2 linked regions of the Oryzias latipes genome follow. The protein of the gene in region 1 purifies or fractionates together with the protein of each later gene. This does not show direct contact. Links are inferred from orthologs where the notes say so. Each region holds a gene or a part of one and is shown in the gene's direction. Other genes may lie near its edges. The genes, in order: dnajc17 and cdc5l.

What was found.
Region 2: the proteins of dnajc17 (region 1) and cdc5l purify together in Homo sapiens (affinity purification with mass spectrometry; 3 studies listed by BioGRID and IntAct, with this or other methods). This does not show direct contact. The link is inferred for Oryzias latipes from reciprocal best matches to the Homo sapiens genes DNAJC17 and CDC5L.

What each region holds. Positions count from the first base shown.
Region 1 is NC_019880.2:14,608,418-14,612,243, reverse strand, and holds part of dnajc17 (dnaJ homolog subfamily C member 17), read left to right. Parts: intron 1-125; coding exon 126-245; intron 246-3,826. UniProt on the Homo sapiens protein: May negatively affect PAX8-induced thyroglobulin/TG transcription.
Region 2 is NC_019873.2:1,350,958-1,354,640, reverse strand, and holds part of cdc5l (cell division cycle 5-like protein), read left to right. Parts: intron 1-49; coding exon 50-176; intron 177-268; coding exon 269-360; intron 361-436; coding exon 437-581; intron 582-654; coding exon 655-846; intron 847-3,587; coding exon 3,588-3,683.

The sequences.
Region 1 (3,826 bases):
AAAGCTCCTTTTATGTAAATTTAAACATCCTTTATGAAATATTGGGATAAATTGAGCTTTTTTTCATTTGAAAAACCAACAGATTATCCATGTGAGCATTCGTTGACACTTTTGTCCTCTTATAGGAGCTGGCTTTAAGCAATGAAAGTGGCTTAAGTGGGAACCCCATAAAGATTTCATGGCTGGAAGGGAAACCCGAGCCAGTTGCTGAGGCGTCTCAATCGGGCCAGTTTCTGTCCTCACAGGTACTTTCTTGAACATGGTGACGCTTTACTGTCTTTCTCTTCCACCAAGCACATCAAATACCCCCATTCGCCTCCAAATTTGACCCACAGCAAGAGCTGTGCTATCTTTTGGTTTTTATTCTCACATCAGTTGTGAAAACATTGCTGCAGGGCTTGCAGTTGCCTCGTCAGGCCGTGCGCAGCAATCTTTGAGTAAGTGAACGTCAGTTTATTTGTTTTGGGGTCGGGAGGCACCGGGCTCGGCCCTGGCCCACAATCCCTTGTTGGCCGCTCATTAATGGAAATAACCTATGAGACCCCAGGAATTCTTCACTCTGCACAACAGCCCCAGAAGGCAGTTTGCAGTAATGGATGTCTGGCATGTGAGACTGACTAAATGTCTCAGCTGATGCCAAGTGGGTTTATACTTGTAATGCTAGTTATGAAAACTGCTGCTTTTACATTGTGATCTCATTCATCATATTGATTCTCGTGTTATAATATTTTGTTGTCAGGGTTTTTATTTCTGTTCTTTTGAGTCCGTTTTTGTTGTAATTCTTCTTTATCACAATTATCTATTGTGTCATTTAAAAAAAATCAATAATGAAATAATTTCCTTCCTAAAATATCTATATTACATGGCTGACACAGTGTTTTCCTGTCCAAGGACAAACTGATCTCAACGGGATCCACTGAGAATAGAGCAACTTTTCATGTTTAATAGGAAGTAGCATCCAGCTTTACCAAATTTATTTAGATTGTTTGGCTTTAAGGATGAGGATTGCACATGCAAGCAAGGGTTTTCACCCTTCAACTCGGTGTGTGGCGTCAGACCACCTGCCTGAGGTTAGAGCCTGACACTGAGTATGAGCACTGGGACTTGTCTTACGAATCCTTTTTAAATGTTGCTATAGTTACTTGGTTTCCTGGTGTTTTTCTTTAGTTAAACAAGAACAAAAACATTACTATGTTAGGGGAATTTTCAAACCAACTCAGAGGCGCCACACGATATTGTAGAAATTGCATGTGTCCATCTACAGCTGGCTTTGAATCAGTGGACGCTTGAGTCATTTCAGAAAGAAAAAGGTAATTAGACGCCATAGTTATCTTTTCTTGACTTTATCTTGGATCTGAATATCTGATCCCTCCCTGGTGCCTCAGCGTTAGCCAGCGAAAGCGCGTTCGAGCTTAGTGTTTGTGGTTCTGCTTCTTCAGCTTTGGTGACAAAGTGAGTCTAGAGAACTTAGAGACACAGATGAGCTCAACTTTCTTTTCTTTTTAGCTTGATACACACATTTTGAGCTAAGGGATATACTTAATGTGGGGGAGAGATGTGACAAAACTCACTTAGGATTCCAGAGTACTTAGAAGTGTAAATATTTGCATACAGAGCCTATTATTAAAAGTTATTTCTTTAATTTTTTTTCTATTTTTTCAGAAAGCAGAGGACATATCGATCTATGTCAGTATTTTTACTTATTCAGTTAAAGAGTCATGCTAGTTGGGAGTATCTGCATAAACAATAAAGAATTTTATTAGACACGAGTCCTCCAGAAAATCCGATATGCATTAATATTATTGGAACAATAGTTTTTCCTAATATTCATTTTATTATTGTTTTCCTGTTTCTCTTTATTTCCTTCTTAATTATATCATCTTCCGCCATTTTTGGACTTAACTCTTTCTACAATTTTCCGCTATTTTAACCATTCAACTATTAAAATGTTCAGCTTTTTCCAGCTATGACTTGTGGTCCTTCAAATCATTGAACTTTTCAAGATATTCCAGGATTTCCAGGATTTTTGCCTCCATTGAAATACATGGGGAATTCCTTTGAAAACTTTTGCCTCGCAGAAGCTCGTTGGTTCGATACCTGGCGATCGCATTGTTTTTTTTTTTTTACAGAAGTATCTTTTTTGTTTTTGTGTTGTTTTCACTTTATTTATGGTCAGCTTTGATTATTTCTCTCTATTTTTTTGTGTGCCAAGTATTGCCCTTTACGTTTCATTTTTATTCAGCAGTATAGCATTCAACCCTGCATTTTCTTCTGGAAATGCAGCCTCTTCTAGTTTTATTTGCAGTTCAGTTCTTACCTCTCTGACGTTTTTCTAAACCCAATCAAACCCTTTTGGGGAGACCGGGTTGCTGGAGCCTATCCACCGGCTGTTTGGCAAAGGCGGGTACACCCTTGGTGGTTCACCAGTCCCAGTCGCAGGGCCACACACTCTCACATTCACACCTAGTGAGAATTTAGATTCACCAGTTGACCTAAAATACATTTTTCTCGACTGTGGAAATAGTCAGAGTGCCTCCAGAACATGCAAGCTCCACACAAAAAAGGTGCCTGCCGGGTTTTGAACCAGGATCATCCTGCTGTGAGGGGAATGCTTACTACTATACCACCGTGCAGCCCTCAGGTCCTATCAATTCTTAATATTTTTTTAAAATAAATTCTAATTTCGCTATTAATCACATTTTTCAGTAAAGAAACCAACAGCTAAAATTGATGTATGAAATTGGTTCATTTCAAATAAAAGTGGCCTTTGTGCCTTCAGAAAATCAGTAAAGGTCGCAAAAATGGATGAAAGTAAAATCTCTTCCAGGATCTGTGTATAACTGTCTCTGAAAGCCTGACAAACTGTGGATTCCACAGTTTGTGACGGAACCCTCAGACTCTCATAAACGTGGATCCATAGCCTGACAGTCTGCTATGTCCCTGCCAGACTTGAAGTCATGGCTTCCAGAAAGATGATGCCATCATAAATCAGTGGCTTCATGGTTTACTGTGCAGTTTACCATCAATTATTTAAAGGAAATCTAATGCAATGGAATTAAGTCAGTGCATGTCTCTTCCTTCCAGAGTCATTGCAGCATTGTTACAACACGAACCAGATGCAAGACGGACATTTTTGAGTTGTTTTTTTCCACTGGTTTACTGGGGCTTGAAAGGTTCTTCCATTGAAAGGATTCTTTGTATGGAAGCATTAAGGCCATGTGATGCTATAGATGCAATCACATCAAGCCGGGTAAGGTTTTTTTTTGGGAGCAGCCGCTTCAACAGCTTTTGGTCTTTTATATGCTTTTGACTATAAAGAAGATTTTTTTTCTGTTGTTAGAGTTATTTCAAACTTGTACTGCTGGTACCATATTTTATTTATGAATTCTTGGACAGTATTAAGCCTGGTATTAGAATATGTTTATTATGCAGTTTAGGATAAATATAGTGTAATCTAAAAAATCTGTGAGTTTTAACATGGATTTAGTTTTTTTAAAACTTTTGTTACCCTTTTTTTTTTTTAGGAATTTGAATGTTGGCTAACATAAAAAATTTGACAAAACAGATGTTTAGAAACCATCTTTATATAGCAATTTTTCTGTTCCTTTTCCACATATCCAAAAGTTATCAAGCTTTCAAAGTTCACTTGCACATTTTCTCCTTGTGCTGGCACCTGTAGAAGCCTAAAATGAATGATTTCTTGCTGTTTTCTTGGATTTTTGCTCTGTTTAAATTCTCAGTAAAACTTTCTGAGCTCTCTGCAGATAAATGACCAGAAAACAAGCTGGGAAAAGGTTTGGGGATTAGTTAAGATGACTGATGACAT
Region 2 (3,683 bases), on another chromosome or scaffold:
GCTGTTGTTTCCTGATCAAATAACACGGTATGACTTGGTTCTGCTGCAGGCGTTTGGCTGCCCTGCAGAAACGCAGGGAGCTGAGAGCAGCAGGAATTGCTGTTGCGAGGAAGAGGAAGAAGAAGCGAGGAGTGGACTACAATGCTGAAATCCCGTTTGAAAAGAAGCCCGCTCCGGTACTGTCAGATGAGCTCCAGCTCCCATCAACAACCCATGAACCCACAACAGCAGAGCACAACCTGAAGCTGTGTGCTTGATGTGTTTGAAGGGTTTCTATGACACCAGCATGGAAAATTACGAAGCGCTGGAGCCCAACTTCAAACGGCTGCGACAGCAGCACCTGGATGGAGAACTACGCAAGTCAGTCCCACCTGCACGGTTTGATGCACTGCAAGGCATGAGCCAAAAACACTCAACCTGTGCTGTTTTGATGCAGTGAGCGTGAAGAGAGGGACCGGAAGAAAGACAAACAGAAAATAAAGAAGAAGAAGGAGAGCGACCTGCCATCTGCCATCCTTCAGACCAGCGGCGTGGCAGAGTTCACCAAGAAACGCTCCAAGCTAGTGCTACCTGCACCTCAGGTACCACACTGACCTGCTCACACACACACACACACACACAGACACACACCCTGACTAGACTCCCCTCTTGTAGATCAGTGATGCTGAGCTGGAGGAAGTGGTCAAACTGGGTGTGGCCAGTGAAGTGGCACGCCAGGCTGCCGAGGAGAGTGAAAGTGGAAACTCCGCCTCCTCCGCCCTTTTGTCAGAGTACAACATCACAAACAACATGGCTGCCGGACTGCGGACCCCTCGCACCCCTGCGGCTCAGGACAGGATAATGCAGGTATCTGAAGAAGGCAGAGGTTTTGCCTTGTTTGTGTCATAATCTGAGGTGATTTCTGTTTGATTTGGGGGTGGGGGTTCTGGATGTTCTCTGGTTCTGAAGAACCAGGCCCAGATATGCTGCATTTAGCTTCTTAATGATTGGACTGATTGCTCTGTGGAACAGTGGCTTTCTCTGTTGAAATGTTTATGCAGGGTTCTCTTTGGCGTGGCTCCTCCCACTATCGTCATGGCGTTGGGTTGTGTTTGCATTTCTCAGTTTGCTTTCATGACAACACGGTACAAACAGCAGGGGGAGCATTGACACCACAAAACCCCCTCTGTGGGGGTTATCCTGTGCCAGAGGTGCAATCTTTAACTTGCTGGTGGCTCCCGTCTGTGAGATGAGTCAAAGTCAGCTTATTGGTCAATATGCTGCACACACGTGATAAACAGCACAGAGGAGATTTCTTTCTCTCAGCCCACAGTGAGAGCAGCCTATAAAAATAACAATAAGGATAAAAACAGCAAGTTCATCTTTCCCGGTTTACCTCGTTCTTTTAGAGCGATCATGCTGCTTTCTTTAAACAGCGCACCCCGTTCTGTGTCCTGATTGGCTGGAGACCCTGTCAATCAATCTCCTCCGTGCCGTGTCTCCTGAACAGAAACGCAGAGCTCTTCAGATCAGAAATCTGTGATCGATCAGATCATTGTTTTCCTTTATAAGATCCTGGATCTAATTTCTATGAAGGTTTGAGAAATTAAACAAAAGACAAGGTGAAAATGTTCATGTCTGTCTGAGAAAAGTGTGTTTATGCAGTGGGGAGTTTTACTGCCATAAATCATAAACGTCTATAATCATTCTCTGTGGATTTCATAGATCACGGTTTTTTATTATTTATATTTTTAGAATGTAACTCCTGCAATAAATGAGGATTACTGGATGAGAAACAGACGTGCAGGACACAGCTGCTCAGCTTTAGCACAAACTGTGAGACGTGAGGAGCTGCAGCCTCAAAGTCTTTATTAGAATAATGACGGGAGAAGATCCACTATTTATTGTTGTTTTTGTGTTTTTTTTAAGATCAGTTATTTATTTTGTTAAAAGGATCATGAATGAATGAAACTTTATTCATTCAGCACTTTATAACTCCTTGAAGGTACCAAAGAGCTTCACAAAAAAAAAGGTCTAAAATGGGAACAAAAGTTTTAAACTAAAAACTGTAGAATATTCTGCTTTAGAATATCATTTTCCTTTCAAATTATTTCATCTACATTCCATGTTATTTCATTCTCACTCCACACATCTGCTCCTGGTCCGGCCCTTCTATTGAATTTTAGAACCCAATGTGGCCCCCCAGTTAAAATAATTGCCCCCCCCCCCCCCCCCCACACACACACACACACTTGCTGCAGTGACGGTATATTAGGTTAGTATCTATAAAAATTGTCTAAGTATACCTAAAATTGTATTTTTTAACATTAACAAAAGAAAACAGCAATGTAAATCCATTTTCAACAAATATTATATTTCTTTAGCCACAGAAACTCTGTTAGTCTAAAACAGAAAAGAAGCTTAAAGAGCCTGAAATAAAAAATCTGTCAGTTATTATTTAAACTAGAAACATTTTGATCAACTGAACCATTTGATGCTGAGAAAAAGAATTCAATCAATAATATTAAATGTAAATTGATCTGAAACATTAACACAGCAGCACCAATAGATTTAATGTTTTTAGTCTGAGGAAATAGATAAAAACATTGTTCTGATTTTATTTCTAAATGATGGATAATTTATGATCTGTGACGCTGTTTTCCTGCATTACCTGCTGTCTGCATGTCAAATACTGACACCAACTAAACAACAGGCAGACAAAGAAAACATTGATGGAAAATAAAAACACGTCATCATAATGTCTACAATAGTTCATAAAGAATGACATTATTAGCATGAGCTAAAGGCACGTGATGATCCTTGTGTTGGGCAATAGAGGCAGCTCTCTGTGTGCTGTGTTCCACTTGCAGCCTGAGCCCACTACCCCTCCCCTCTCCTTCTCACACACGCGTGTGACAGGAGACATGAGCAGCTGCAGGGACGGCAGTTCACAGTTTCAGGCTGTTACAAACTCTGATAGAACAGATCAGGAAACCAACAGTGACACAGATTTTTTTTTCAAGCACTGAGCTGCTGTCACCACCGCCCCCCGTTAAATTTGCGCCCCGGACAATTGCCCATATTACCTGTGCCTAAAACCACTACTACTGCGCGCCCCCCCTGGCACCTTAAGAAGCACTGTGTTAGAGTAACAAGCAACCATATGTTGTCTATGCAACTGTAATTGTCCCTTTAAAAAGTAATAATAAATCAATGAATAAATGAGTTATTTAACATTGAGGAGTAGTTACATTTATTTTTCATTACATTTAGTTACATGTAGAAGTTATATCGGGCCCTTTGAGGACAACCACTATGCTGATGTGGCCCTCAGTGAAAATGAGTCGGACACCCCTGGTTTAAAGTGACAACAGTGCTAAGAAACAGACTGAAGTGTCTCTGGGATGGAGGTGAGGGGTCACCTTCAATCCTGATGGCTTTGCGGGTGGTAAATGTCCGAGAGGCCGGTGAGGGGGACACCGAGGATCTTCTCAGCTGTTCCCACGATGTGCTGCAGGGACTTCCGGCAGCCAACAGCGATGCTGTTGGTGATGAACCTGTCTGTACCACAGAGCCGTGTGAAACACATGTTCCTAAATCTGCCTTAGGAAGCCCAGAACCTGATGGCTCTGACCAACATTGACACCCCTCTGAAGGGGGGGCTCAACACGCCTCTGCACGAAAGCGACTTCAGCGGAGTGACG